2 linked regions of the Drosophila melanogaster genome follow. The protein of the gene in region 1 purifies or fractionates together with the protein of each later gene. This does not show direct contact. Each region holds a gene or a part of one and is shown in the gene's direction. Other genes may lie near its edges. The genes, in order: fest and Rbp4.

Region 1 (17,355 bases):
ACAAACAAACAAACAAACAGCTGCGACAACAACAAGCACAACGGCCAAGTTTACCCGCCCCCACTGACAAGTGCGAAGTGGGTGGTTCCGCCCCTTTCGCATTTCCGGTTTAACTCCCTTCCGGCCAGACAGCAAAAAATCGAAACTCAATCCCGAAGTGGACATGTGCTCTGCAAAATTGAATGACACGCCGGTTTCCTACACATTTTTTTTCTCCCACGAACAAGCCATCACTAAAATAATTCAATTTGAATTTTAATATGTTTTAATTTTGGATGGAGTGGTGACCATACCTTGCCATACATATAGATGTATCGTTAATATTAAAAACCGTCAAAGATAATAAAAGTTTTTAATAACAAAAAATTGAGTAAATTAAATTTTAAATTTAAAATTTCTTTCCATAGAAATAAAATACACAAGAAGAAGTTGGCACCTTTAAAAGGTACATGAGTTAAACACAACATATAGTATTTATTTAAACTTGCGCTTGTATTTCTTAAAACATGAAAGATAAAACAACTTTCTTCATTAAAAGAAGGCAAGTTGCAGGTCGCAAAATGTGGAACGTTCCCTAATTAAAACGTTTTTGGTCTCATCAAGTTATACAAACAATTATTTGTAATTTTTCGTAAATTAAGAGGGCGGCAGGAATGCAAACATCAAAGTGGAATGGGGCTACTTAAGAGATGCCACCATTTCGGAGCAGGAAGTAATTTTTACTCGACAAATATTGACTTGATCCCAATAAGAAGACAGCGCTGAGAAATAACTTGAAAGCATTCCGCCTCCATCGAGCTGAGGTGATCCGATCCCAGTGAGGTGTGGGTGGCGCAAATGGCCGATGGAGGATGAAGATGTGCACTTGGCGGTGGCCACCGCAACGGACCGTAAACAACGGAGACACACGAAAATGGGCAGCGGTTGTGGTTCATTTTTTTCCCCATTCGTATTCGCAGTTATCCGGCCCCCACAGAGAGCTACGGGAATTTTACCTCACAGGCTGCACTGCGAGAAATTAGCTATCGCAATGTGAAATTTCTGAATTAAGTTAAGAAACAAAATGGTCAATTCATTTGTATATATTGTCAAGTAAACTAATAATAAATAATATTATTATCGCAATAGAAAGGACATCTTCCATTAAAATTAAAAATTGACTGCATAAAAAAATTAAGATCAAGATGAAAGGAACACTTGTTATAAATATTTATTGCTCCGACTGCATCAGAAGCCATTCAAATAAAACAAAGAACATAATTATAGGCAGAAAATAAAAATCACTTTCACTTCGTTTATTTGTTTCGCTTCGTGTAAACTGCAAAAAGGTGTGCTCGCTGCAGAAATTGTAAATTCACTCGCCACGAAATGAGGACGCCACGGAATGTTGACAGTTCTCGGGAGGATGGCCATAGTGATGGGTTCTTGCTGCGACGCGATGGAAATGGTAATGCCAATGGGAATGGGAATGGGAATGGTTCCACATTTCTGAGTCAGCGGGTTGTCTGCGCTAGATGTTCAGCTTTTGGGGCTGGGGAATTGCAAATAGTTCAGTCCGATTGTGATTATTCGACGCTCGGTCTGGTTATGGCCAATTGGCAGTCAACAATGGCTGGGTGTCCCGATGATTCCATCAGTACCAACCAGTGCGTTGAACCCGTCCGTCTGGACGGCGTGTCTGGGCGATTCTTTTGCCGCTCCGGGAATTGGAAATAAAATAATGGCACAAAGCGAGCGAAATGCGTGCCCCGGAAACTATGGAACCCATTCTCTCTCTGCTCTGCAATTGCCAATGCATTTGTAATTGTCTCTGGGTGCGGATACCTTGTCCGATCCGGGGTATATTGTTCTATTAAACGGACAGTTTATTCCACTCGAATGCGAGTCATACATATACATATATCCGCTTCTATAGACACGGCTCATCAAATAAAGCTCTGAGGATGTGTTATAAAATTATACAATTCATTTTGACAAAATTCCCCAAATTAATATGCACCAAAAACAACAGAAAAAAAATATAATATATATGAAGGCGGAACAGGCAGAAGTGAAAGCCACTTGATTTATACCTTCTCGGGATTCTTGAAGCAAGGTGGACCCCAAAAAGAAAAGAAAACAGAAGAAAGTAGAACAGTTTCGGGAAAGTGGGCGTGGCACCTGCCAAGAGGCACGTCCGCGTTTCCCTGGCTCTTTGCACAATTCTTATGTATAAATTTGTACAGTGGCTTTCGATGTGGGTTACCAATGAATAAAATATGAGGAATATTCTAGGGGCTGTGCCAAGTTCGTGCGGTTTTCTTTGATAAATGAAAATTTAAGTAAAGTAATTAAAATTAAATAAATAAAGTTGCGGTTGCTGGCGGTGCGGTTTTATGACTCTTTACTAAATGACATGAATTGAATTTTAAACTTACCAATGGCCTTAAAAGTGGAAACTATCTTTTCCTATAAACGTTATTCATTTAAACATCCCACTTAAGTTTTAATGACTATATTTTATCGACAAAAGCCGACTTTGCTGCCTACTACTTGACAAAATCCAATTAAATTGATAAAAACTAATTAAAGTGTGTTGCAAAAATCACGTGCATGGCTTATGTATTTCCCATAACTTGTTGACATAATATTTCTTAAAAAGTAGAAATAAAAAAATTAAAATTTTGATGTGTGAAGGATGTTCAAAACAAAAAAAAAGAATGGATTGCCATGCCTGAGCCAACTTATCTTGTGCATTCGTTGGCGAGGCTCTTTGTAAATTTTGTAAAAATAATTGCTTCGCTCACCGATCTTTACAGAAATGATTATTGATGAACACTTTGGCCTATTTTATCAAAATCAAAGCAGACGCGACAACGTCACATTTGCCCATCAATGAAGCGTGAAATTCAGACCGACAACGCGGGCAAAGCGCCAGCACACATTAAATCTTGCAAAAGTTTAACCCAAGCCAAAAAAAAAAAAAATGGGGAAAAAACCGCCTGGCACACCTTTTCGATGAACTATAAGACCATAGACCATAGACCATAGACACGAGCGTATGAGATGGGTGGATTTTTTGGCAAGTGCCGAAGAGCCGATGACGTCAAACGGCGGCAGTTGGCCGTTGGCAGTCGGCAGACTTTTGGCTCAGACCACCAATTGACCAACCTTTCAATCTGTTTTCATATAATTTTTTATTTTTTTGTTTTTTTGGGCACGCGTAGGTGGTGGCTTCTTCGTCTCCAGGAAATCCCTGTGAATCACCTTGCAGGGGGCCGAGGTGGGGGCACGGGACTTAAGGGGATTGTGTAAACAGAAAAGTCACCAAGGAATTCGACGCGGCCAGAATAATGCCGGGAATGCCAAAATATTGATGGAAGTCAAGCCGAGAGGCTTTTAGCGTCGCGTGCCTGTCGGTTGAGATCCGTAAATGTATGTGCATCGGATTCGGAATATCTGTATATATATATATATATATATATATATATATATATATAGTGGGTGAGTGTAATTCCATAGCTGACAGCGGGGCGGCATTATCATCTAGAGGCGACAACAAAGATCTCCCGCTGAATGACCAGACACATTTATTTGTTTACACAGCTCGGTTGCCGTTGCCTCATCTTGACAATCAATTAATTTCCATCCCGTCCCATCCCAACCGATTCCAACCCAGTCCATTCAATTCCCGAGCACCTCCTGCCCCCCAGTAGAAACTGAAGGGGCTGGTATTGTCGACAAAGGCAAGTGGCGTCGTTGGCGCTAATTGTTTTTAATGAAAATTGCTAAGGATTTAATAAGGAAGAAGGCGCTGAACAAATGGATTTTAAAAGCCATTTCAATTATGCCATAAGTTTCTCATCAATCTGAGTGGTCACCACTACCACTGGCACTGCCACTCACGCGAACGGTGACGTCAAAGATTGCAACACTGGCCAAGTCGGAGTCCTATGCACTTTCTATATATAGCCGCTACACTAGTATGGATTTTATGATCTTTGTCTGCGCCAAAGTTCACTGACTGCAGAAGGCGAAAATAGTTTTCCACATTTTAACGAGCTTCGGCAAGTAATAGCGAATTTTCTCTATTCATTTGGCTGATGTTCTCCTTTTAGTTTTCATATCAAATGTGCCTTTGCCTTTACAAAACGAGCGTAATTACAACTTGAATTCAAAATTTAGCAAACTATTCCAACGACGCTCGCTGAAAATCTGAATTTTCAGCTGTCTGAATATTTGCGAATATTTTTAACGATAAATACTGAAAAAGGAGGTTAACCAATTTGTTTCACTTGCGGCTGGCGAAAGTGACAACGGAAAAATCACTTCGGTGGACGGGGTGATTTTTACAAATGAGTTTCCGTATTTCATTGAATGCATATGCGATTGCATTCCTGCTATAAATATATTACACATTTTCACTTTCAGTTGGTGTTGCTCAAAACTGAGTCAATGCGATGCGTGGGCGGAATTGCAGCTGCAGTGGCTGAATTTTAATGATCCGACCAAGTGCCAAAAATAAAATTTAAAAAATATGCCAGCCAAGTGTCTAAATAAACGCGTCCATTTAAATAGATATGATGGCGAAAGTGTCAATCTAAATCTGCGTGGGCCGATGGCCAAATGCAAGGAGTCAATGCGCTCATTAAACAAACTAATCCGCGCAAGAAAAAACTGAAATCAAGAGGCAAAATCAATCATGAGAGCGGAAAGAGTTGACAGTCGTATACAAAAAACACAATAGTTCCGGAAGTTCAGGGACTTTGCACACTGAAGGTGAGTTAGTGAACCCACAAAAATGGAAATAAAACGACCTTGGGGGTTTGCCAAAATTGTGGCTAATATGTCAACATTCAGGCAAATAAAATGGCTAATAACTGACAAGAAAAACGATTGAGCAGCTATTACTAAAATATATTATGATTTTAGTGTTTATTCATTAAGAAATAATCCAAAAATTTGTAGCTGTTCGACTGGAAAGTTCTATAAGAGCAGTTTACATTTCGCAGAAACTTTAAATGCCAGTTCTTATTTAATATGTCAATTTAAAAGTTTCAGTTGAATGTATAATACATTTAAATTGCGTGATTGTTTGACTTTGACAACATATTTAAGCCACGTTAAAGCAACAATTTAGAAGGGGATAGCTTTTTATTAGCAAAGTACTAAACTGTGCTACGTGCAAACATCACTTTTATCTGACTCTTGACATTTCCTGCCAACGCTTCAAAACTTTGCAACTCTGCGCACTTGTTCAGCATTTAACCAGCATCGATAAGAATGACGGCACTTTCTCTTGCACTTTCTCCCGTTCGGAAAATGCAGTTTCCCAATAAATCTTAAAGCCTAAGTCTTTTGCTGCAGCTTATAGCTGCGTAGAAACTATACAAATGAGCGGCAATAAATTGCTGGAAGCTGCACTGCTGTGCGTGTGTTCAAGTCTATTTCTCGATTCAATTACGAAGGCGAAACTTCGTTTTCCGGCCACTAAAAGCGAGGAGATGGGTTGCACTACAGTGTCGTCCTTAAATGCGTTATTTTGAATTCAATCAGCTTTTTGCCGTCTAAAAGTATGCAGCACTAATCGGATATACGTTGAACTTTCACGGGAAATCTAAAAGTGCCAGGGCTTCAAAGGGACGAAGGGAAAAGTAAAGTATCGTGTACTCGATATTACGACACTTTCAACTATCGAAAAACCCGGTAGGCCAGTGAGTGTCAGAATTGATGGCACATCCTTCCATCGGCACTTGAGGCAAGTCATTCTTTCGAAAATTGTCGCAGCGAGCAGTGCTCTTGAAAAGTCATAAAAAGTAAAAAATTAAATTCCTCTCATTGAGTCGTTGTGTTCCGTGTCGAGCAGAGTACTTTGATTTTCGCTGTCCAGCACGCCGCGTGTGCCGTTCTCGTTTAGATCCACATACCAAAGTCCAGGCCCCGTTTCAACCAAGAACAACAACACCATCATCCATCACCCATTCGATTCCATACGGTTTTCCCATAAATTTTGAACAATCGAATCTTGACAAAATGGTTACCGACGCCCAGGACACCGTTGCACCTAAGACCAGCAGCACCAAGGAGGTGCAGTGCCAGCACTCCGGCGCCCTGGATGAGCCCCATGTCGAGGAGCTGGCTCTACCGGGCCCCGCCCCCTTGGCCACGCCCAAGAGCGGCCGCGTTGGCATCTTCAATGCCGAGGACTTCTTGTCCCGCGCCCAGTTGAACGACAAGATCAATAACATCTTGCGCTCGCCCACCAAGGCTCCAAATGGTGTGCGCCAGCGTTCCGTATTCACCAACAACAACCCATCGCCGGTGAGTAGAGTTGTCACTTCTCCATAGGATTGCCTTCATTTTGAAGGCATATGCAAAAAATCGTCTCTTTGATTTTTGCAAGTCATTTTTGCAAGTCATATTTTCTTAGCATTTTTTGCAAGTCATCTTTTCTTCCCATTTTTTGCAAGTGATCTTTGATGTACCATGTGATACCTTTTCCCTTACCAATCCCTAGCAAGCCACCATGCGCTTTGTGTCATCGATGAACAGCCCATTGGCTCCACGTATGAGCAGCCTTTCGCTGACTGGCGGAGTGAAGCGCGGCTTGGAGCGCGGCAACAGCAGCAGCAGCATGGGCAACAGCGCCAGCGTGGGCACCAGCACCTCCGTCCTGGCCAAGGAGTGCTCCAGCCAGACAAACAGCTGCGGCCGCAGCTACATGAATATGGGCATGCACGCATCTTCCCACTCGGGCTTCGGAGTCCTGCCGCAATCTGGTGCCGGCTACGAGACCATGGGCTGGAACATGGATGCCGGCAATATTACGCGCAGCGGCAAGAGTCTAACGGGACGCTTCAACTCTGGCTATGGCTATGAGGTGGATGGAGCCTACTGCATGGTAAGTGCTTTGATTTATTGCCCCGTGTTTCGTATTTTAGAAATATGCGATATCTACCTAGCCACAGGCACATCACACCCAGCAGTTCCCATCGCCAATGCCACCACCACCTTTTGCTATGGATCGCGTCAGCTCGCGCACTTTTGAGTTCGAGAACAACACACCACCACCGTGTCCAGGATCTGGACCGATTGCCATGTCCAATGGCACCATCCAGTTGCGCCTGCGCGAGGGCGTTCGGTAAGTGAACGTGGTAGGAGATTTATCCCTTGATCATCATTCCAAATCATTCCCGATTCCAGCATTGACATGACCCTGGACAAGGCTGTCCGTGTGCTGAATCAGCGCAGCATGGTTGCCGCCGCCTTATCGCGCAACTGCAGCAACTCTGCCCTCATCCATCCCAATGGGCGCATCTTGCAGAGCGGCTCCAAGGTGGAGATCGTCACCTACGACGGAATGAAGGCCAACAACTTTGTGTAAGCTTAGAAGTAGAATCGAACCTTTACTTTAAGAGTGGCAAACAACTAGTATTTTGGAATTTAAACTTGTACTTCTCATTAGATTTTCGTATAAAATCTATGCAACTATAGCTGCAATCATTTTCTTCCAGTCGCTATGCCAAAATGTGGTACAAGGGCGTTAGCTTCACCAGCGAGTCCTGTGCCCTCATCTATCTGGTGGACACAGCTGGCACTCGCACCACCACCGATACCTTCACCGACCTGACCAAGGACTACACCTTGGCGGTGTTCTATGAGTGAGTTAAGCACGAAATTTGCCCAAATCAATTCGCCAAGCTCCTCTTTCCAATTAACAACACCCTCCAGCGATTCGCGCCACGGCCCATCCTTTGTGTCCGATGCCCACGACGTAATCGCCAACTCCACCTACAATTGCGCCGAGGACGGCACCGAGGTGTATGACATCAATGGATTCCGCATCACCCAGGCGGCCGACGGCCTGGTCAAGGTCAGCCGCCAGCACAGCAAGTGCCTGATTCGCACCAGTCCGGGCAATGGATCCGCCACCCTGACCACCACCGGCATCCACTGCACGGCTTCGTTGGGCAAGACCTCGCACCTGTTCGTCCGGTGAGTTGGCCACTGCATCCACACCTATTTGCAATAATGATGCACTCGAAGAATGCATTGTTCTCGTCGTATATTTATTCGATTATAACACTGATAGTGTTTAATTGATTCCATACTTTTGCAGTAATTCAGTTAATCGGATATTTGAAGATTCCTTTTGTTCTTTTTTTTTTTGCAGTCGTAATGAGAAGCGCATGCACTTCGACGGATCCTGTTTCATTGTACGCAATGCTGGTCACTCGGCTGGATTCAATGAAAACAACCTGCTCATTGTCTACTAAGTACCGCTCGCACCATGGGATGTGCATCGCGTTGGGTGGCCATCCAAATGCCACCTATAGCCACCCAGCGTGGGCAATCGAAAATCACCCCATTATACCACCACCACACACACATCACAGAAAACACACACACGCAAACCGACTCAAGCGTCGATATAGTGACCCCCCCAAAAAAAAAAATCAAAAAATCCAAACAAAACAACATTGGAAAACTGGGGCCTCGGCGTGGAGAGGGATCAGATCATTTAAGAAAACCTGGTCTTCTAAACAAAAAAAATTATAAATGTATAACTGCATTTAAGATGAAACAGCTCGAAAAAATGCGCGAGCAACGAAAACTGGCGATCCTGATCCTTGAAGGATTGCTTTTCGATTGCTCGACGTAGGCGCAACGCAAACACTAGGGAATTAGTTTTAGATAATCACACTTACAATCTCTCTAGCCCTCGATATCCTTGTTTTTATACGCATACCGTTATTTAGTACAGGCAATTCAGGTGGAATAGGCTCTGGAAAATCCACCTGTTGCCTGAAACGCTGGCCAAGACAATGCTATTTCGATCAGGGCCAGCGTTTGGTGTTATAAAAAGAATGAACTTGGTTCGCGTTTCGCTTCTTTTCGGCCCTCACAGTATAGCAAAATTAAGTTTCCAACGATTTTTTAAACGTTCGACACGTACTTGAAATGCAACAAATTCAGCAAGATTGAAAATCGAAAGTTGCAAAATTTCCACAAAAAAAAAAAAATAAGCAAAAATTGATAAAATCGCTGATATCAAAATTAGCCTCTGCATGATAAAAAATTAGCTAACAAACGACGGCTGCTTTGGCCAACGTAACACCAGTGACAATTCAGTTAGTTCTAAGTTACCAGTTAAGATTAGTTAAGTTACTACAATCCAACCATGTTCATCCTCACACAACACACACACACTCTACAGCGCAAACGTTGCGTAAAATGTAAAATGAGTGGACTTAGTGCTTAAATTTCCAAGTGTAGACGGAATAGTACCACTACCACACTCGTGGAATACAGATACACGCACACATGCACAAGCACACACACACACACACACACACGACAGGCCAAAGTGAGAAATTGTGACTGAAATGGAATACAATTAATTAGCTTACGAAACAAACGCTTATCTGAAAAAGGCAGTCGTCTTTGAAAACAAAGTTAAAACACGTGCACACTTTTAAACACCATTCCTTAAAAAAAAAAAAGTGAAACGCCTTGCAATTATACCTGTGTAGCCTTACAACAACAATCTTCAAAACTCTAAATTTAATCCTCATGTATATCGAAATTTATGTGCACAAAAATCGATGTCAAAAAGTAATACATGAAAGTCCTGAATAAAGTAAATTCTATCTGCGCTACTGTAATAGATTCGTATAATTTTGTTAATTCTCATGGGTTAAATCTGGATCGAGATACAATTTTCAGCGGCTCCTGGCAACCATATATGACCTCATACCTTTCCTCTGGCATTGTAAAAGTACAAGAAAATTGCTTAACGACTACAATTCACATTACAACCCTGTTGGAGGAGTTGTGGCACCTGAAGGGCCATCAGGACTTGAAATCTTTTCGGGCTTAAAGAGTTTGCGAGCTATGTAAATATTTAAAGGAATGAATTGCACGTTTAAAAGTAATTGAATGTTTGCCAAAAAAGGTTTTCATATACAAATATTATAAAAGATGAGAGGTCTTCATGTTTACCTGCAAACAAATCCAAAAGCACAACGATATGGGATCGGCAGTCATGCAGACCAAGCTCTCCAACAGACTTAACCTGGAGTTGGAGCCGGAGGAGCGGCCCGTTGGCAGTGGCTGTTGATAGAGATTAGTGGATAATGCTGGGGCGGAACTATATGCCACGGCTGACTCTGTCATAGGAAGAAAGTGGTTCCATGGTTAGCGGGTACACAGAGAGAAATGGCGGGTGAGCGTAAGCGAGGCGGTGAGCATGGGCAGGTGCGGAAGCCACAAGGCAAGGATACTCAAGCGGCGGTGATGGTGAGTGTCTCCAGCTCAGGCGGATACAAACATCTAAAAATGCGTTTACTCTAGTGCTGCGTATTAAATAAAGTCGCTAACCGAACCCAGCAACCCGAACCCGGCTGAATCCTGAATCCGAGGTTATGTGGCTCAGCAGCTAGGGAGCCATAAAGGGCGAGACCCACACACACACATATGGCATATTCAATGCTCACGCTTGCGTGACTTGGTCGGAAAAATCCGTTGGATGGGAACGGGGGGCGTATACGGTGCCATTTGCCTCTCGCACCCGTGCTCAACATCAAACGCTTTTCACACTTAATTGGGCGTAAAATTAAATCAGAATTGATTAAAACACTTGAATGACAGCAGCAGTCGAAGCCAGAGCTCCGGTGCTATATGGTCCCGAATTTGAGAACCCGGCCAAAAAGTCTAAGCATAAACAAACTTTTTGGTTCCCATTTTTCCAGCTGACGCATGGCACGTAGCATCTCATCTGACCGAGTTTTCCACCCAAAACCCCAAACTCAAGCCCAAGCCACCCCCACCCCACTCCTCACCACCCATCGACATCCTCTCAAAAAGGACTAATTGCTGCCTAGAAACTCCTCTCTTCTTCCGCCTTTTGCCTTTAGAAAGTTTATCAAATTCAATTTCCGACAAAAGTTGGAATGGGCTGGATAGGCAAGACATCAATTTTTATATTTTACCATTTAATGGGCTCTTCAATTATGCGAGTCTCGCTCCACCGGTATTACGTTCACATTAATACAAATTCAATGAGGCTTAATTCCTGGCCATAAATCGTCGCATGGATTCGTTTCACCTGTCTTCTTCTGTGGTCATGCAGCAAATCAATTCGATTTCCGTCGAAATGAAAGAGCCATCGCATTGCAACACTGCAACTGCCGACGATAATTGCATTTTAACCGATTTACCCAGGAAAATCCCAAAACTGAACAGACGGCAGACAGTAAAGGATACACCCATTCGTACTGCGTGAAAATTCAGCTTCGTTTAATTTAATGGGAAACGAATGGCCCACGGGGGGTAAATGAAAAATTATGAATATTTACCCCTGCGGATAAGAGGCTTAAATTCAACCGGCAAGATAAACGCAAAATACATACGAATTTGAGTAACTCCATCTGTCATGGTGAGCACTTCATCCGAATCTCTATGTTCGGATGCGTAAGCCTGAGGTGACAGCAATCAAATCAATCAGACCAGCCACCTGAGCTGAGCGGGAGTTCAAAGTGAGTGGTCCCCAATGGATGTTTTCTCCTTGGCGGAGCTGTTAGCCCCCAAAAACCCATAAACGCAACATGGCATTGGCGAAAGGGTGATTGTGAACGACATGTTTCAAGTATATATCGTATATCAATGACAAAAATGCTGCTTGCCAATATCATGACACAATTCATAAATTATTCATGAATAGAATTCATTCGAAGGTAGATTGGGGCACTCTAAAACGTCTGCTTCATCAGAAGTAATTAAACTAATTAAGAAAGTAGCGAAATTCATAGCAAGCCTACGTTAAGTACAGTTAATCCCTTTTTTCTTTTCTTTTCTATTAAAGAGTTAGGAATATAGATTAAAATTGTAAAATTCTTACGAATTCGATTACCCGTGTGTAAATATTTTCTAACTGTGCGGCAATAACAATTGAAATGTAACAACAGGCGAGCGTCAACATTATTATAATGGCGTTTAATTAAGCCGCTGAGTAAATCCCCTCTCAACACTCTAATTTGAATTGGCAGGCCGGAAAGTCAAACAAAAGCCCCCGCCGAAGGCCAAATATTTCGGCCTAATCCACTTGGCCCGGTCCGAAATAAGGGCTTTATAAATTGGCAAAAGAATGGAACGGTGATGATGGCCGATGTTCTCCAATAACGAAAGTTTCGGCCAGCTGAAATGCAGGCATGGTAAATTTTCCAATATTTTCACATTGCAATCTGTGGTCTTACGTGTCTATTTTTTTTTTTGGTTTTGGCCAGAAATGATCTGATTTTGGCCATGGCAAATTTGGCACATGCTACCTATCATCAGCATCGTCGTCATTTGATTTTGGGTGAAAAAGGTTCGCGGTATAATATGGTGGCTATATTTGCAAGGACAAGGCAATTCTAATTAACCCGCTGCCTTTGCCAGAATTGCAATGCGTGAAATCGCTTTAAATGCAAACCCTAAATCTCATTAAAATTCCTCAGCATGTTGTCGTTGCCATCCAGCTCAAGTGTCTCCCATTTTCTTGCCGGGTTTTGTCTGAGATTCTGCAGCAGATTCCGTCTGCGACTTTACCATTTTCCCAACCACATTCAACAGCCAATGGCAGTTATTTTCAACGACGGTTTAATTAAGTCTAATGGTAAAATGTTGTTACGCAATTATGTCGGTGTCGTTGTTTTCGGAAATGTCCTTTAAATTCGGGTCCACTCACGTGCTGACCCTGTTCCATTCGACCCTGGGTAAACCAATTTGCGGCCCACATAGGGTGAAGTAAGTGGAAATCGAATTACCAATAACGAGACTGCCACAATAATTTCAGTTAACACCTGACCGAAACGCCAGTTGATAATGGAGCCTACTGTCATATCCTTTTACCAATGCTCCAGCGAATTTCATAAATGTAAAGCTCGACCATTTTTAGACTTCATTAAAATGGGTATTTGCATTTGACAATAAGTTTGAATGTACATATTTCTAATACCAAACCAATTTAAATATTAATATTATCACACATCATATATATAACAATTCAAGCTTGCGGTGCACTTTTGGGGAATTATGCGGTGTCAGGTGTAACATACAAAATACTTCGGCAATGGCGGCTTCAGTCTAGCTTTTGTTACCTCCCCCAGATATGGCTAAGGATTCTCTGCGGCATATCTGCGGTTGAGCCATTGAGTACTTACATGATGGGCGAGGCCATTGATGTGGCTACCGTCTGCTGCAGATCCTTTTACCGAAGATCCTGTTGATGCAGCGGCTCTTTGGCCCGCTTCACTTGACTTTAGGGCAGCGAGCGCGGAGTTAGGCGAAGATTCTTGGCAATAGCTGCTGCACCTGCCACCGGCGCCTCTCTCCGCGATGTGGGCGTGGGCGTGGCCGTGGGCGTTGCTGTGGGTGCTGGCAAGGGGCAGGGGAGAGGCCGGCGGGGTGGGTTGTTGTGGAAGAGAGGGGCCCGTTCTGTTGCGTAAACGGGCCAAAGCACTCCGTAGACCCTCCGTATTGTCTTTGTCGGGCCCCCGTCCAAGCGAAATGCATCCGCAGATCAGTCCACCAGCCGCCTACAATTCAGTGCCAGCTCCTAGTTGCACCTCTGCTCCACGCCCTGATTGGTCCTTGGCCAATCAATTAGATTGCACTTTAATCTGAGGACTTTAGGCGCCTTGCTGCACAGTTTGCAATTGCAAGCCGCAAGGTTTACAAGTTTCGAAGTTGTCGTCGCTCCGAGGAAATTACTAAATCTTATTTGTAGTTGAATTGTGTAGTGTGTGGTCGAGATATATTGTTTTTTAAATCGAATTTAAACGCTGCGATAGCGCGGCTTGTAAACTGAAGTCCAAAGATACTGCAAGTATACAAAACAAAATATATTTTATATTAAAAGTGGTTTCAGTTCAAATTTGTATGACCCTTTAAAGCGAAGCATGTTTGCAAGAGAGACCAATTAAAACTGTATGATCCGAGTTGCTGCTAAAAAAAAAAAATATTAGAAAAAAATCCCAGCTATTCAACTGTACGAAGTCGTGCTCCTTTTTTCGCAGGAGTCATGTTTTCCGGAATGCCCCCAATTTACACTGCAGTAGAAACTTGCCTCGGGCCACTTTTACTTGGGGTAACAAAAGACCGTCGAGACTGGTTGATGATGCGCCCGAGGTGGGAAAAGTGAAACATAATTTCCGACACACAATTAAAAGCCAGGTCCTTTGGGCCCCCGACGGAATTTCATATTCATATTCCGTCCACAGGCGACGGAGCCCACTTGTATGTTTTTGGCCCTGTTGCTGGCTTTGCCATTTTGCCATTTTGCTATTTTGCCATTTTTGTTGTGCATGCGAGATTCCAAGAATCCAAGGCTGCTAGGGTGGGCATGTGTCACCGGGAAAAGTGAAAAACAGCTTTGGCGGGTCAACAGCAGGAGCGATGAAAAGCCGAAGCGAAGTCGGAATGCCCTTGGTTTAGTTCATAACGAAAGCAAAGAGTTAAAATGATGTTTGGCTCTAATTCCATAGCCATGATCTAAAATTCGTTCAAATCAGCCATAAATAATATTCTGCAAATTGGAAGTTTTCTTCAAACATGGAAATGCACACGAGCAGCAAAAGCCGAATTATGGCACATGTACTGTGCTATTGGGCATTCACACAATTGAGTGATTTCAGTGGAAAATCGAAAGCCGTGAATTGGAATATGAGTTTCCTCTTGCTCGGCCACATACGAAAATTCTGAATACACAATCCTTTCATCCAGCGGCACAGATTTTTCCGGGAAAAATGCTGGAACATTTAACATGCTAGATAGATAAAGTTAGGTTTTGCCTAATACCCTTAATTTTATATGTGTTTTTGGGACTGGCAGACAATAAATTTCGTTTCGTAAGGACAACCGTTAGTCATTCAAAACAAATGTAAATTTACCGAAACAATAAACGAGAATTGCGCACCGGGGACTTTGCGGTTGCTCTGCAGACATCATTGAAGCCTTTAAGACCAACGGCTTATTGCAAAGTCCTTGAACTACAATTTGGCTGGCACAGTTAAGAGGTCGGCCACGCCCCCCTGTCCGCCCCACGGGTAAACAGGTGTACGGGTATGCAAATGTCCCAAGTCATTAAAATGTTGCCTCAGATAATAGTGATTTATGGCGGGTGCAAAACGAGAAACATCAGCAGAGCAATTCCTATGACAGACTCGAGATTCAGGACACTCGTGACTGAAGACTCCAGGATGTGCACGGAAATGCGATGGAAGACCAAACGAATGTTTTGGTCAACAGGAGGGCCAATAAACAGGACCATAAAGGCAGCGCTTTTTTGACTTTCGAGGGGCAGGGTCCAATGAACAAGGGAAAAACCATTGTAAACGAAATCATTTTCTGGGTAATACAAGAAACTTTTTTGCAATCTCATCGTTTTGGTTGTGCGCCTGTATGGGTGATGAGTGTGTGCCTTTGGGCTCGCTTCGAAAGCAATTTAGTCGCCAGTGGCAGCCAGCAATTATTTTCTCATATTACGTATACGCAACGCGTGCCCAATGCGCTGTTAGCAGATTTATTCTTCCATTATGAGGCAAACAATTTTCTATTACACTGCTGACTTTTGTTATTAAAAGCGAAAGAAAGAAGCGGCCAACGGAAATAACGCAAAAGTCAAAGCTGACACAAATTCTTCTCCCCTGCATTATTTACATAATTTTTATCACAAAAAAAAAATTATATAAATACAAAAACGCTGGCATGAATTGACAACGAAATTCTCATTAAAAACAGGGGGACTAGGCGGAAAATTAACTTTGCACTCGCTACAGGCGACTGACTACCAAGTGGTCATCGAAAAAATGTCCCAAAATGAGTAAGTGAATATAAATAGAGTAGACATTTGCATTTCCATTGAGTTTGTGCCTGGCGGGAATGTCTTTGTACTATTATTGCTACTTCAGTGATATTGGGCATGTGTGTGTACATTCACTACGTAATTGGTTTCCAACGTTCACACATCATCACTCATACGCACTGTGGCCGCTGGCAGCGCAGACAGGTAAATCACCATAACAATAATCATAATCATCATGAGCACATATACCAGTAATAAAATTTCGCATTTTCACAGATTTTTCCCGCTTCAATAGGATTGATTATATCCGTTCGATTTTGATTGATGTGTGCTTCCGTGCGCTAACATATATACATATATATAGATTATGCCAGCGGCGATATAACTAATTTACAATGCAGAGAAACAATAATATAAAGAGTCGCTTCATCGACTCGATATTACAGGCGCATCGCAGGTGCTTTTTCAGGGAAAAAATTGAAATGCTAAAATTGAAATAAATAAATTCCCGATCGAAAAAAGATTAATCACTTATCAACCGTGCAATCGAATATAATTGCATTATTTGTTAAAGAACTTCAGATGATCAATTTCCATTAACCGAAAATGACTTAAATTATTTTCTGATTGGTTTATCGTTTTTCTGTTCAATTGACAATGCGCTGAATTAAAATAATAGGGGCTTAAAACATCATTTTGGCTAGCTTATACATTTTGAAATAAGGCAACAAAAAAGTGTGTGAGCTGTGGTATTTAATATAGTTTGGAATGTAGCTTTCATGTGGCCTGTTGGCTCTGTAATAGCTACTTAATTAACTAGATGTAGGCCAACTTTTGTGCGATGGCGAAGTAACTTTATTTGCTCGACGAGAGGGTCACAAAGCTCAAGGGATAACGGCCAGGACACAATTGATGAGCCGATAACAACGGTCTTCTGGATGTATCCCCTGGACGCCCATACCGCCACAAGTCAAAGTCCCACTCACTCAACATCAAAAACATTCGTAAAGGCGTGCCTTTGTTTGTACGATTTCCAGTCGAATGATTAGGCCAACACATCAGCAGCAGATATAGTCAGCTCATCGCCAATGCCCACATACTCAAACAATCGATACGGGGGAAAAAAAAATATTCAAAAAGGGATACGATTCGCTCTTCAAGGCTCTTCATTAAAGCGGCTCTGTGTGAATAAATGTGAATAAATTCTGCACAGAATTGAGCAGAAATTTTCTCATATATTTCGGTATTACATCGTATATCCGAAGAAAACAATATGAGCCGGAAAAATGAACTAAACCGCTTGAATAAAGCTGTCCATCAAAGTGGTTGCCAAACATCATTAAATGCTCGCAAGCCAGACTGACTTAACCTTTTTCGCCACGGCCATCCACTCAATCGTCCAAAAGGTTACCTGGACAACAGATTCGATTATCCTGTCCAGAACATAGTACTCAAAGACCAAGCAGTGTCTCTTTGTGGTTGCTTTCGGTGGTCCTTAATAAGATTCCCCTTCATGGCTTGACCAAAGAACA
Region 2 (15,351 bases), on another chromosome or scaffold:
TTGGATTTGGTATTCGTTTTCATTTGGCCACGTACGTACCACCAAGTACACAGTTTTGTTATGTTTTTCATGTACAACAGAATCATATTATAAATGGCAAAAAGGTATTCAAGTGTTGCGGTAGCTGTTTTCGTTTCGTTTCGGAGGAAGCCACACACCGGATACAGTCAGGAGGAGGTCAGATCAGATCAGAGCAGACATCGCTGGCCAGAACCACCGCACCAGAGAGCCAGAGAATGGAGCATTTGGAGCAGTTTGCCGGTCAGAGGCGGACAACAACCAGCGGCATCGGCACCTCACGCACAAACGAACTGCAAAAATAAGAAATACGTTTCGGGACGCTGCTCTCGCTTCTCCAACGGGTTGGGTTGGTGGTTGTCTAGTCGGTAGTCTCAGCCGGAGACGGGGCAGGTAGCCGTATGCCGTTTGCCGGAGCCGCAGCCATAAGCCAGAGCCGCAGCCGGAAGCCAGAAGAACCGGGAATGGGGGGAAGGAATAAGTTCGGAGGCACTAGCCGAAGTTGGTAACTGAACGCGCGACCAGCATCGCAGCATCGTGTCATCGTCATCGATCGATCATCGTCATATGCTCATCCCTCATCGTCGCCAAGACCATCACATCATCTTAGAATTAGCGAACGCAAGCTTCTCATCTAACCACACTCGATTGATTCGATTCGCACCCTCATCACACTCACAATGGCTATAAGGAATTTGACAATTCTTTATATAATATTGTTGGTAATTAAAATTGTGAATGTTTTTAGCAGAGAGTTAAATACCTAACGCAAGAGGCCAGCCCACGTCTTTTCAATCAGTGTGGGCTTTAATACGTGGGCTGGCCTTTTGACCCGGGCAGCTCATCAACGTCCATCGTCATCGTCTGCTTTCTGATTTCGATTTTGCATTCAGTTTTGGGTTCGATTCTGATCGACTTGTTCATTTCGTTATGTGTTCTATATTATGTTTTATTTGGAATAGACGACGAATGGATGAGGCGGCGGCGATGGCGCTTCGTGGAGGTCGGTCGTAGGTTGCAGATCGTAGTTCGCATATCGAAACCAATCTGGGGCGGCTCTGGGTACTGTCTCACTCTGTCTTCCACCGCATCTTGGTTTTTGGGTAACATTCTGAACCGGTCGGTCGGTCACTAGACTAGCTTGTCTTTCTCACAGCGATTCAATTAGATTTGATTCTCTTTCAGTTTTAGATTCGGCCCCAAGCCGAGGAGGGAATCTCTCAGTCAAAGCACATCAAACTCTTTTTATTATCGGTTTCGGTTGGTGTGTGCAAGAGAAAGTAATGGTGGGTAGATTACACCGATCAGTACCAGGGTTTTAGCAATATCTTTTGTTTTCGTGTTTCACTTAAGTCTAGGTCAACTGTACAGCTTAGGGCTAGATTACAGATTATAGAATTGGCTCTAGTCAGAGTGGAGGAGGAGTTAAAACACAAAACAGGACGAAGACACCGGAAAGTAATTCGAAATCAAAAAGGGGCTCGAAAAGGTTGGTTCTGGGATGGGTAAGTTGATTAATGGGTGTTTGTAATAGTGATCCATTTCAGTCGGTTAGCCGTTTTAATTCTAGTACTACACTCCTCGAATCTAAGCTACAGTATATACCACGCCCAAGGCGCGATACATCGATCCATGCTCACTTACCTGCCAGCTAACGCGGCTAGACAAATTCTCCACAATCAGTCGGTACTCAGTGCGCAACGGTGGGCCATAACGAGAGGATGATCTGGAATTTTTGTTTCTGGTGAATAATTGAATGGATTCGCTAATTAGTATTGACACTGCGCTGCTGCTCCTGATGCTCCATCACAAAAATTAACGGTAATGGTGAATATATTCCAGCATATGCATATTTACATTTGGGTTATGCGCAACAAATCAAACATTTTACATACTATGCGGATGGGTGGAACGTGCAAATAAAAGCAACAATAGTATGCATAGGAAAACGGAGCGTCTTGGAAATGATAATATTAACAGCAAGTCAGTGTCTTTTGGTTCCCTTCCACGCAGAAGAAATCAGCTTATACGATTGCACTACCAAAAGTGTATAAAACTATAGAAGTCAATATATAATAAACTGATGTTTTTTATATATATCGCAAGTAGCTAATATTATAGGTATATAGATTTTGCACGATCTAAGCTGGTTGCATCTGTGTGGATGGAGATATCAAACGAAACAAATTGGCAGTGCTAATTCTAGGGCAAACTTCAACGCAAACAAAGTTGGAGGACGATATCGTCGCTACTTTGGTCCGGTTTTAAGGTCCGCTGGCAGTACTACTTACTTTTCGTTGTAACGACCGCCCCCGCCCCCCCGCCGACCACCATATCGATCGTCGTAGCGGTCGCGGTTGCTGCCACGAGCGGTACCCCTGGCGGGTTCAACAACCACACTGCAAAAATATAGAACATACAATCGTGAGTCATTTCGTACTTTGGCTTATATCTAACAACTCACCGTTCGCCAAGCAGCTCTTTGCCATTCAGTTCATAGACGGCATCGTCGGCATCACGATAGTCTTCGAATTCCTGAAAATTCAATTAGTGATTAGTATTGATTATGGAATTAGTATTGAAGCTACCCTGCCTGTGCATACTCTTATGGAAATACGCTGGGTGAATTTAAGAACAGTTTTTAAGCGTCACTGTATTTGACAGACAAATGATGGAACAAATATAGGTTCAAAAAGAAAAAAAAAGTATTCAAGGGTCGGCTTGAAATGTTAGGAAACCTATAGACAAACAGAGAAATGCAGAAATGTCTTCAAATCAAATTTAACCGATTTTTTTTTTTTACATATTCCAGTTAAATATGATATTTTGTACTCACCACAAAGCCGTAGCCATTTTTGATGAGGATGTCGCGTGTGCGGCCGTAGCCTTTGAAAAAGCGCTCCAAATCGCGCTCGCGCACTCCGTAGGGCAGACCGCCCACATACACTCGAGATCCCACCATGATAACGGTTCCTTACGTATCTGGAGCAGGTGCTATAAAATAGTGAAGTATATATATATATATCAGCAAGGGAACCGTTGCAGTTTGCAGCTTCTATTTTGCTCGACTGTCCTTTAGGAATGGAAGAAAAAAAAAACGCACATATGTACGCGCCGTGTATGTTTCGCCAAGATGGCGGCCACCACATACACACACACACGCTCGCAATGTACCGGGTGTACAGAACCGCTGCAAAAACGAGTTAATTTAACAACGCGAAATACGCGCTGTTCTTCACTTAAGCGTACTCACTAGCACGTACCGTTCAGTGAAGGATATTTGTGGCAAATTTACAATTAAGTCGCTGCCGTACTCTCTCTTTTTCAGGCTTTCCCACACGAAAAAACGCAAGCGACTCGACACAAACGGAAGTGAAAGTGACAGACGAAAGCGATGTTTGACAGTCATTCCAAAGGCGGAATGGAACGATACTTTTTCGCCTATCGATATTTTGGGCGGGCAATGCGTTTCGCTGCGTTAAGGGTATTCCAGTTGCTGTTCGTGTTCCGCTATGAAAAGAATAAACATTAAATATACTTAGTAGTAGCATTTGAATATACTGTTAACAACCTTTTTATTTTGATATCTGCTAGCAAGCACTCATTAGCATTTTTTAACGTTTCTGATTTGATGATATACATAAAATGTTTCTGGATTTATTAATTTATTTCGCACGATGTCTTTTTTTATTCCCAAATGCCTCATAGATCCCGTAATTGTAATATTGATTGACCCTTAGCTGGCTACTTACAAATATACAATTCAATACAAAATAATTTACAAGTTATCTCTTAAAGTGAAGCCTTCCATCGCCCCAGCTAAAGCGAATGCTCGCAGAAAGAGTTATGTAAGCGGTATTAATAATAATACATATTTAGCTAAAAAGTTAAACATATTAAATGTTTCTTGGGTTATCGTGGTAGTAATTATCATAATCCATTTATAAAGATAATACATTCAAATCCGTTTGTTCAGAAATATATACAATAAACTTGTCTAATATTTTTAAGCCCTTACTAGACGAATACAAATTTATATGAAGATATATAAAATCAAGTGTGGCATCAGCTTAATTGTCGAGGAACACCCCTAACGCACCGAAACAATCGTTCCGATTCCACGTGGCGTCCGATTTTCCGACTTTACCCCGTTCTCGACACCTGGTCATACTGCTCACTCCATTCTCATTGTGCGTGCTGTACATTTCATTTATTGCCAGTCTGCCGTCAAAAAAGAACAAAAACAAAAAAAATATTTCCTGCGTTCGGTGTTTAAACTTTCCATCTTCTTGAACAACCAAGGAGAGAATGGCGGAACAAAACGATTCCAACGGAAACTACGACGATGGTGAAGAGGTGAGTTGCAGAATGACCAATTGCTGTTTGTAAATCGTTCATCGCGCGTGAAAGTGCAAAATGTCGACGCCGACAATATTCGTGTATAATATACATTCACGCCGCTTTTTTACCGAATTATGGGGGCCATCGATCCCTGTGCGAATTTAGCCAGCTAAAAGTTTATCGACCTCTTTTGGCGAGAAATATAAGCAATTTCCGATAAAAAAGTTGCCGGCTGTTTGATAAAAAAGAAAACGAAAATTCATACATACATACACATATACGGGCTGTCATGGCGGTGCAAATACTAAAAAAAAAAAAAAAAAATATGGCGAGCGGCTTTTTCTCGCCAGGTAAATTACTATTATAAACAATGGCAAATCCTTGTTGATCAAGGATGATTTTGCACTTTTATCGTTTTATTGACATAAACTTATTGACTTATTGACAGCAACTTATTTTTTTATTAAATTTACAGCAACTTATTATACATTTAAATATTTTTTATACATTTATTCATTTAGATACAGTATGATTTTTTTTTTTATTATATAAATTTATACATTTTTCGCAAAGTTTGTCCAAAGAAATCAATTAATTTAATTTAATATTACAACTTATTTTCGAATCAATGGGTTTTTTTTTTGTTTTTAGAAATTATTTAAATTATAGAACGTCTTTAGCTAATGCATTTGAAATTCACCCGCAGATCACCGAGCCAGAGCAGCTGCGCAAACTGTTCATCGGCGGACTGGACTACCGCACCACAGATGATGGCCTGAAGGCTCACTTCGAGAAGTGGGGCAACATTGTCGACGTGGTGGTGATGAAGGATCCCAAGACGAAGCGCTCTCGCGGCTTCGGTTTCATCACGTACTCCCAGTCGTACATGATCGACAATGCGCAGAATGCCAGGCCACACAAGATCGATGGACGCACCGTGGAGCCCAAGAGGGCTGTGCCACGCCAGGAGATCGATTCCCCGAATGCGGGAGCCACGGTAAAGAAGCTCTTTGTGGGCGGGCTTCGAGACGATCACGATGAAGAGTGCCTGCGCGAGTACTTCAAGGACTTTGGCCAGATCGTGAGCGTGAACATTGTTTCCGACAAGGACACCGGCAAGAAGCGCGGCTTCGCCTTCATTGAGTTCGATGACTACGATCCCGTTGACAAAATCATCCTTCAGAAGACCCACTCCATCAAGAACAAGACCCTGGACGTGAAGAAGGCTATTGCCAAGCAGGATATGGATCGACAGGGCGGAGGTGGCGGACGCGGAGGTCCTCGAGCTGGCGGTCGCGGTGGTCAGGGTGACCGCGGCCAGGGAGGCGGTGGCTGGGGAGGCCAGAACAGACAGAACGGTGGGGGCAACTGGGGCGGAGCTGGCGGCGGCGGAGGATTCGGCAACAGCGGCGGTAACTTTGGAGGCGGTCAGGGCGGCGGCTCTGGCGGTTGGAATCAGCAAGGCGGAAGCGGAGGTGGTCCATGGAATAACCAGGGTGGCGGCAACGGCGGCTGGAACGGTGGTGGTGGCGGCGGCTACGGCGGCGGAAACAGCAATGGCAGCTGGGGCGGTAACGGTGGTGGAGGTGGTGGTGGCGGTGGCTTCGGAAATGAATACCAGCAGAGCTACGGCGGCGGTCCACAGCGCAACAGCAACTTTGGCAACAACCGTCCAGCTCCTTACAGTCAAGGAGGTGGTGGTGGAGGATTCAACAAGGGTATGTTGGGTTATTAAGTGATTTGACCATAATGTACATAATGTACTTAAACCATGCATTTATTTTTTACAGGTAACCAGGGTGGAGGTCAAGGCTTTGCTGGCAACAACTACAACACCGGAGGTGGTGGCCAGGGTGGAAATATGGGAGGCGGCAATAGACGTTACTAGACAAGGTAAATATAGATAACCTGGACGACAGGTCCTATCCCATCGTACAATCTCAAACGCTCGGATCTTTGGTCGTTATTGGCAGCTAGTTGGTAGCCTAGCCATGCAATCAAACTCATTTCGGAACGATTCGAAGCTAATGCAAAATTTTCTCCTCTTTCGCAACTAGGTAAACACACATAGAGAGAGAGAGTGTGTCAGTTCAAGCTAGACGACAAACAGGCAGTCTAGGCAGGCAGATGCAGAGGGACAAGCACATTCACAGGCAGGCAATCAGTAGCATGTGTGTGTCAGACCAGGCAGACAAGATCAGAACCAAGAAATCAAGATGCAGAACCAAGAACCAGGCCGTGCGCAAATGCAAACGATAAATCAATCAATCAGGTTTGGGTCCGGCCGCAACCTGCAGGCTATAGCCATAATCCACTTGTCAAAAGCACCAAGCAAATGATTATGCGTCAAGCAAAACAGCCAAAAGCGAAACGAAACGAAATCCAATCGACGCCACTTGTCCACAGTTTGAATGCTGCTATCTCTCTTTTGTAACCATTAATAATTCGCTGATCGATTTATGTTTAGGGTCCTAAGAACCCCGAACGCTTAGTTTTAACCATAAACAAACAAAAGAAACAAACACAACAAAATATAAATTAAACAATAATTTTATTGTACAAAATTGACTACCAACTGAGCGGCGACGGATTCTCCTTGAGATTCAGTCGTTGTAAGGGTGTTATAAGGTAGAGCACTTTCTTTATATTTATTCATGATTTTATTGTTTTTAGCGATCCAGCGAAATGTAAGAAATCAAATAGTACCATATTTTGTAATCACTTTTTTTGTACAACTAAGAACCTTTATGATTTGTGGCAAGTAAGATCCCAACTCCTGAAATGCGAATGCCACGCACATTTGTGTACAGGCTGCACAGTGGCCGAGAAATGGTGTCCTAGCGAGCAAAATCCATATATGCATACCAACTCTGTTAGTCCCTAAGAAGTAGATGCTACGTTAAGCCAGACTAAAAAGAAAAACGCTAAACAAATATCACAAACATTCTGTAATTAGTTCGTTACGAGTGAAACGAAAGCGACAAAGAGATACAAGCAAAATAAAATCCTAACCAATGTTACCTACCCACCCAAAATGAAACGAAACGAAATAATCACAGGAGCAATGCCCTAGCAAAGAGGAGCAGCAACTGCAGCAAAATCCGGGTTTTCCGATCCATCCCAGATCGGCAGGGTAGCGGGCAGGGCTAATTACCGTCACTAGAGACCCCCACCACCTAACCCCCGGGCAAACCGCCGCATACTAATGCACTGACTATTTCTTTGCAAGACTGGCCGGGCTACGGACGGAAGCTCCCTCCCGGGTCCGTATACGAAATCTGGGCTGCTCCACGCACCGGTTCGTTTCCACCAGGTATTAGTTAATGGTTTTAGACCGCAAAGCAAGCGGTGGCCCAGGAAGAACTCACTGGTGGACTTTGGTTGGTGGCTCCCTTCTGGCTAACTTGGTGGGTACAGCGGAGGTAAGTGAAGGTAACTAGTCGGTATTCTACTAACACCTCATTTGTTTCTGAATTTTTCAATAAAGTACAACTTTTACTAGCAAGAACAAGAGCTGTATTTTATTTTCTGGGGGCGATATTTTATAGGGTTACGTATAAGGGTTTAGGCCCTATCGATTTATTGGCCTATTTGTATCCAATAATGCTGAATCATCTAAAAGTGACAAGAACTTTCACTACCAAGAACAATTTGTTCTATGAATACCATAAATGTTCAGTGGATTATAGCCGGTTTTCGAAGGACCTAGCTTTCTGGATTGTATTACGAACTAAATTCTTATGAGATCAATGGGGTTTTTCTTCTAATAATGCATAAGTAGGGTTTTTTGCTAGGACTACGAAGCAAAAGAGGCGATATTATAGGGATTTATAGGGTTACGCTTTAAGGATTCAAACCCTATCGATTTATTGGCCCATTTGCATCCAATAATGCTGAATCATCTAAATGTGGCAACAATATTTTTGGACCTTTTTCGATAGTCCATAACTATAGACGTTTGGATTTTCTTGCCTGTCATTCAATTTGTGGTTGGCTTCACCTGAGTGCTGTAGTAAATCAGGCTATTTTAATTTTGACATCTCTTCGAAAATGGATGCGGGAAATTGTGCCTCGTCGGCCTGCCTTGGAGATGTAAGCTCATAATCCCCCAAACTATTCATAATTATCAACGAAAGTCGTTGTGTGTGTGCAGTGCAAAGGCGACGGAAAGACGGCCATTAAGGAAGAAGGCTACGAGCATTTGCGCAAGATCTTCATTGGCGGCCTATCCACTCAGACGACCGTGGAAACGCTGCGCGGATTCTTTAGTCAGTTCGGTATCGTGGCCGATGCGGTGGTCTTGCGGGATCCGGTGAGCAACCATTCTAGGGGCTTTGGCTTCGTCACCTATGTGGATCCCAAGTCCGTGGAAATTGTCCAAAGGGCACGTCCCCACACCATTGATAATAAGTGAGTAGTTCTCTAATAATCTTTCGCTGCCCTAATTCTATAAAAAGTTGATTAATTAATTTAGAATTGTGGAGACCAAGCACGCACTGCCACGTCAAGATTTCAAAAGGGGTGGCGGCGTTGGTTCCGTTGTCGGAAGTTTTGGCTGTGAAGCCGGTTTCATGAACTCGAAAAGGATCTTTCTGGGCGGCTTGAAGGAATACCACGATGAGAATATCGTACGCGAATACTTTTCGCAGTTTGGCCCTGTGGCCAGCGTGAAATTGCTCATGGACAGGGAGACCGGACGTCAGCGGGCATTTGGCTTCCTCGAGTTCGTGGATCCATCCAGTGCCGAGAAGGCATTGGGTAAGTTTCCATGTTTCTCATTTATTGAAAGTCATCGTGCATTTTTTTCAACTACCTTTAAGTATGATATAGATTAAAATCTGATGATAACGCTGCTTGCTTTGATTTTCAGCACCGCGCAAGCACTGGATTCTTCAGACATTGGTGGAGGTGAAGAGATCCACCCAGAAGGCCGACAGGCGTTTTCGGTTCCCCATATTTAGCTCGGTTCGAGCCGGCTACATTCCGCCCCAGCCGGCCACTGCTGATAGCTACAATTACAACAATCCCAACTACAATCCCTATCTGGCCCAATCCGTCCTGCCGCCATCGGCATTCACTAACGGCTGGGCCCACTATGTAATTCCGATGGCACCCAAGCCAACACCCGGACAGAACATGGCTGCTTCGTTGCCGTCACAGCAGCTGGCAGAGCACTCGCTCAACGGACACGGTCCGGACATGTGGTCCTCCTATCCGAAGACCGGTATCTACTCGGCCCAGGAGTGGACTTCCAGCAAAGTGGCCGAATGGGGACCGAAGGCCGGGCACAAACATGCCCAGACATCGACCAACGATCGTGCCAAAATCGATTTGAAAGAACTCCAGGCAGCTACTTTCAATAACAAGCTGGATTTCGGCGCCCGTGGCGACGCGGATCGCATGTCGGGAGCTGGCTTGGGATTGGGTTTGACTGGCGGTGCCGCCGTGGGAGTTGGAGCTATTAAGAAGTGGCCCACCCAGGACTATAAGGTCTTCAAGCCAGCTAAATCTCCGACCAACGGAGTGATTCCGAAGATCGGCAAAGAGGCTACAACACCACCCTACGGTTCATTTTTTTCCTTAAAATTTAATTTAAATTTAAATTTAATTTAAGAAAGAGAAAAGAATCTAAAGTATCTTTTTATTCTTGCAGGTATCTAAGTGGCGGACGATGGAACGCAGTTAAACCCAATTTACTGCCACAGTTTAATGCTATTACTACAATAATTTGCAGGCGATTCCGTTCAAGATATTTAATAAATAATAAAGCATACGGGTCCTTTTGAGACTTAAAATCGTAAACTCTTGTTCTTTATTTATACTATTTCTGTTGGTTTTTTTTTTATGTTTGTTTCCATTTAAAGTATTGCATGTATTGCATGAGTGAATTGATTTTTCGCAAATGTTTTATATCTGAAACGCTATAAAACGCACCAATGAATTGTGACTGGAATTTTGTGGGCTGGCTTCTTCGACTGGCTTGTTATTAATTAAAATTATGCAAATTGCTATCGATTGCTCGGCTTTGTGCGCATCAATTTCATTTAAATGCTGAATGCTCAGTAGTTCTTCAGTTGTTTCAACACAAAGGCAAATGGGAATTGGATTCAGTCGCTGGATAAGTAAAGTCGCCTTGATAAGTAAAATTACATATCCTTGTGAGTTTTTCCTTTCAGATTTCTAAATCTACGACTTGGTGTTTCTTTTAAACGCATTTACCAGAAAAGGAAATACGAACCGATCCAAAACAAATGTGTGTGTGTGTTTTTTTTTTTTTTTTTGAAATGAAACAAAATCATAAGTTTTCTGGTAAACACGCTGAATCTTTGTGATTGGTTTTTATTATTATAGTTATTTTGTAGTTGTACACATATAAATTAAATTATAATTAAGTGTTTCCCTCCTTTTCTCTGTACTCTTTACAAACTGCAGTATTGTGATTTCATCGGTTTACTTAGAAATGAGCATGAACTCTAATTGTTTGTTTTTCGTTTACTCTTACATCGATTTAGTTAGTACCTCTGATTTGTATTGTATTGTTTGATGCTGTTTTCATGTTTCTTATTTTTTTTTTTGTTTGTTTATTATTTCTATGATGTTGTTGCTGGCCACGGAGCACTTTCAGCACTGATCGTTGAGCTAAGGTTTGAACACTAACACTTTCGTTTTACAAAAAATGCACTAAAATTGCTTTAGACCCTGTTCACAGTGCTAGAAATGCGTGGTGTTATATAGAAATAGTTGTGGAAATTGCGATTGTAATTGATTTAGCAATTGATTCTCTAGGGCAGGCGTCGAACAACAAAAACAAATGATATGTTCCCAACGAATTAAAAGTCCTTAAGCTTTAACAAAACAAGAATAACTTGGGCAATTATATATATTTGGACGCCTGCGACAAAACTCAAATGATGCTCACACGAATTTAATGTTTTCAGTTTCCTAATCGCTTTTCTGCCTTATTTTTATTTTGCAGCAGCAGTTATATAAATATATATATATATATATTTATGTATATTTAGATTTCTGGTAAGTCTAAAAGTTAACATTAAATTATATGAGTTTTTGTTTTGTTTATATATATTTTGTATATATTTGTTGTTACATGTTTTGCTTGTTTTACCTTGAGAAAAATGTTAGTAGCTTGTGTCTCGTCCCCCAACTATTTATTATAATAGGTTCTTGTGTGTTTATATGCTTCACATCTTCTCTACTCATTTCGTTTCATTCTTTTTTTGGGCTTTTCTTGATTTTATTTAAAAAATATGTACTAAATTTTAGTTCACAACTGCGTTGGAAACACCAAATCGTTTAAGTTGCTTGACTTAGTTTGGTTTACGACCTTGAACTTATTACACAGAACGAATAAAAGAAAAGCGAAAACACTGACCGTCCGTCCGTCCGTTTATTCCTGACCATCGATTGCATCGAACACGCACCCACCTGCGGCGCCGGCACCGCATTTGCCCTCATCACACGCTCTCATCTCCACACTCTTCCGATCCAAACCGATTCGAAGCGAACCGAACCGTTTCGAACCGATACGATACCTATATAGACTAGCTAGTCTGCAAATTAGATTTAAGTAGCAAAAGGTTTACAGGCTCTAAAATGCGGCGGACTTTCTTTCTGGGGCGCTAAACGTCGACGTCGATGTGTGTTTGTGTTTTCCTCGCTTTTCCTCCTTGCGGCTTGGTGCTCAATTGATTTTCCTTTCATTTTCAATGTTTTTTTAAAGAGGTTTGTGTTCTTGTGTGCTTGCTTTGCTTATCGTGATCTTATTTTTGCTTGTTTTTAACCGCGCCTTACATTTTTCTCGTGTTTACATTCCATTTTTTTTTTTAGTTTTTAAATTAATTTTTTCAAGTCTTTCTTTTGCTCTTTTTTATTGCATTTTACAAAGGTTTTTCATTTTTTTTTCTGTTTTTTTTTTTCTCTTTTACTTCTCTTTATATCTTTTTAGCTAAGTGTGTAAGTTTTCCCTTTTAATTATTTTTTTGTTTTTAGCTTAAGTAATGGTGTTATTCAATGAAAAAACAAACAAAAATGTGTTGCATTGCTCCTTTCCTTCGTATCAAACCAATTTCTTGCATCTTGCGTACTTAAGATAGATTTTAGTTGAAGGTTAATGCCAAACAAAAGCTGAAACTAAAGTTTACATTTATGCTAAAATGGGTGAGTGTATGTATCTTGTGTTGGCTTTTGTGTGCGATCGTGTGTTTTGCGATGAGTGTTTTGTGGGTGTGCTTGGTTGAGACTTAAATTTAATACACGTGTTTCAAGGTGAAGTTGATTCCGTGAGTGGGTGGTGGGTGGTAGAGAGTAGCAGTTGCCGAGCTGAAGCTTACATTCTTTTAGTTTTTGGATTCACAACGAAGATTTGCACAGAATTTCGGTATATTTTGGCACGAACTGGCTGGAAAAAGCGAGCCTAACGCAATTAAACTAAGAAGGGACTCAGGACCGTTGACGCAACTCTTTACATCCTATCTTTCTTTCCTTCTTTTTTGTTTGTAGTTCGACGCCCCGAGAGTTGCGCTCAGGAACATTTAAAGGACAGTTGACGTTTTATGTTGCTCCAACTACTTTATCTTAGTGTATGAGTGTGTGATTTGCGTGTGTTTAATTGCATGAGATGTTCTTGAATGTAATTGATTGATTGCATTGTGGAAGAAGTCGATGTTTTTAACGTTGGGTTGTTGCTGCTGTTCTTGATGTTATAGTCGCTACTGCTGCCGTTGCTCATTTGTTGATGCTTTTGCTGATGTCGTGCTGCTGGACAATTCCCTTAGCGACGTCCGTAGTTGCCACCACCACTCTGTCCATTTCCGGCACCGCGCAGCGGTCCGTTAGACTGGTTGTTGCCGCCACCGGTGCGGTTATCCTGGCGCTGTCCGAATCCACCGCCGCCTCCCAGGCGAGGAGCACCGTTTCCTCCGCCGCCGCCCTGGCGCAGATTGTTGCCACCGGCATTGTTGCGCATCATGCCACCGCCGCTGCCATTGTTGTTGCCCATCGGACGCGACTGCGGACCATTGTTGCCGCCCAAACGGCCCATGTTGTTGTTCAGGTTGTTGCCACCGATCTGCTGGCGCGGCACCATGTCGTTGCGGACACGCGGCTTCTTCTCCTCCACATTCAACTTCTGGCCATCGGGTGAGTTCTCCGGGAAGTATAGGGGCTATGAAATGGAAAGAATATGTTTAGATAACCTTTCTGATCACAGTAAAAGTAAGGAGATAAAAGAGATACCTTAGCAATTCCAATAATTAAATCTACTTTCTGCTTAACTTACGCAGTTCGCCAGGCACTTTTGCACCGCCTCAGGATCGTCGTAGGTAATGAATCCGTAGTTCAGCGGACTGCGCATGCCTGGTGGCACCTTGTTGCCAGCCTTGGACAAAATGCGCAGCTCCAGGACATTTCCGAAGCGTGAGAAGATCTCGCGCAGATCATCCTCGCTGGCGTGGTGCGGTATATTGCCCAAAAACAGCTGCTGATTATCACCGAACTGCTGCGTGTTGCTCGAGCGACGCTGCTCAAAGTCTGTAAAGTATAAACAGCAAGTTATTAGGAAGAGTTTCTAAAAAGCGGTACCCAATTTTGCTTATCATATAAGCCAACCTTAAGTTGATAAGAAAGTAAACCAACAAAATGAATCATTACCTTTCTAAAAATCTGAACGTAAGCCAATCATAATAAATTATAAGGGGACTAAAAAAGTAATTCTTAGAAACCACTGTTTTCATTTCTACATGAGATCCAAAAGTTTGCACTACATCTTTTAGTCTTTTTACCCTGAAGCCGAATAGAGGGGAATGACCCCTTTTAATTTAAGGGTGGAACGATGAACTTACCACCCTTGTTGTTGCGGATCGAGTTGTTTCGCTGCGGCAGCGGGCCACCGTTGTCCAGTCGCGAGTTGCCGTTGCTGTTGTTGTACGACGAAGCGGTGGTGGAGTAGCTAACCTGACTGCCATTACCGCCACCCGAGGTTGCCGAGGAAGAGTTATAGGTGTTGCTGCTGATGGACTGCTGCTGCTGCTGTTGCTGCTGGAGCTGTTGCTGCTGCTGCAGTGCGGCGTTCACAAAGCCGCTGGGCGAGGAGGACGTGGACTTGAAGAGATTCGCGTACGTCTTGGGCTCATTCTGCTGCTGCTTGGCGGCCTCGTACTTCTCCTGCTGCTGCTGCTCGTGAATGGTCTTGAAATCCTCGACGGGCGTGGGAGGCTTCTGCTGCCTTGGCGCCACCTCCACTTCCTCGGGCTCAGCCAGCGGTTGTTGCTGCTGTTGCAAAGGCTGCTGCTGCTGGATAGGTTGCTGCTGCTGCTGCTGCTGCGGGGGCAGCTGTGCCGGTTGCTGCTGCTGCTGCTGCTGGATGAGCTGTGGTGCCACCAGTGGCGACTGTTGGAAGCCCGCGCTTGGCACTGGAACAATGGGCAACACAGGCGTGCCGGTCGGCTGCTGCTGCTGTACCAGGGGAGACACGCTGGGTGGGACCAGCACCTGCTGCTGCTGCAGCTCCTCGTGCGACACCACACCGTTCTGGATGGGCTGTGGCGGCGGAACGGTGAACTGCGCGGGCAGTGGAACAGCAGCGGCTTGCGGAGCTGGTGGCAAAACAGCCACAGGACGTCCGGCGGCAGCACCCGCTGGCAATGGGTAGAAGATCTGCTGTGGGGCAGCACCACCGGCCGCTACAGGAGCTACCTGCTGGGGCACCACGACCTGAGCCTGTGGCTGCGGAGGAGCCTGCTGTTGCTGCGGCTGCTGGGCAACTACATCGCCGGCCACCTGCACAGCTTGATCCACAGTGCCACCGACGACCTGCACATCGTGCTCCTCATCGTTCTCCGATCGCGACTCGCCATCCTGCTCGTCCTCGATGTAGAGATCCTGATAGCGGAAGATGTCGTTGTGCACGTAGTACTTCTTCGGCGACTGAGCGGCCAGAACGAACGTCTGGGTAAAACGCCGCATCGGCTGGCCATC

Evidence for each region.
Region 2: the proteins of fest (region 1) and Rbp4 purify together in Drosophila melanogaster (affinity purification with western blotting; one study listed by BioGRID). This does not show direct contact.

The regions. Positions count from the first base shown.
Region 1 is NT_033778.4:19,336,072-19,353,426, forward strand, and holds fest (wurstfest), read left to right. Parts: upstream 1-5,737; 5' UTR 5,738-6,012; coding exon 6,013-6,300; intron 6,301-6,496; coding exon 6,497-6,880; intron 6,881-6,941; coding exon 6,942-7,120; intron 7,121-7,182; coding exon 7,183-7,359; intron 7,360-7,493; coding exon 7,494-7,640; intron 7,641-7,710; coding exon 7,711-7,974; intron 7,975-8,152; coding exon 8,153-8,255; 3' UTR 8,256-9,683; downstream 9,684-17,355. Other genes in the region: Rgk1 (Rad, Gem/Kir family member 1), read right to left, coding at 9,982-10,026.
Region 2 is NT_033777.3:13,649,363-13,664,713, reverse strand, and holds Rbp4 (RNA-binding protein 4), read left to right. Parts: upstream 1-8,319; 5' UTR 8,320-8,409; coding exon 8,410-8,451; intron 8,452-8,512; coding exon 8,513-8,769; intron 8,770-8,833; coding exon 8,834-9,117; intron 9,118-9,229; coding exon 9,230-9,925; intron 9,926-10,012; coding exon 10,013-10,020; 3' UTR 10,021-10,158; downstream 10,159-15,351. Other genes in the region: B52, read right to left, coding at 1,663-1,759, 2,310-2,417, 2,483-2,553, 2,855-2,980; Hrb87F (heterogeneous nuclear ribonucleoprotein at 87F), read left to right, coding at 4,327-4,374, 5,066-6,077, 6,150-6,247; rin (rasputin), read right to left, coding at 13,148-13,540, 13,655-13,905, 14,217-15,351.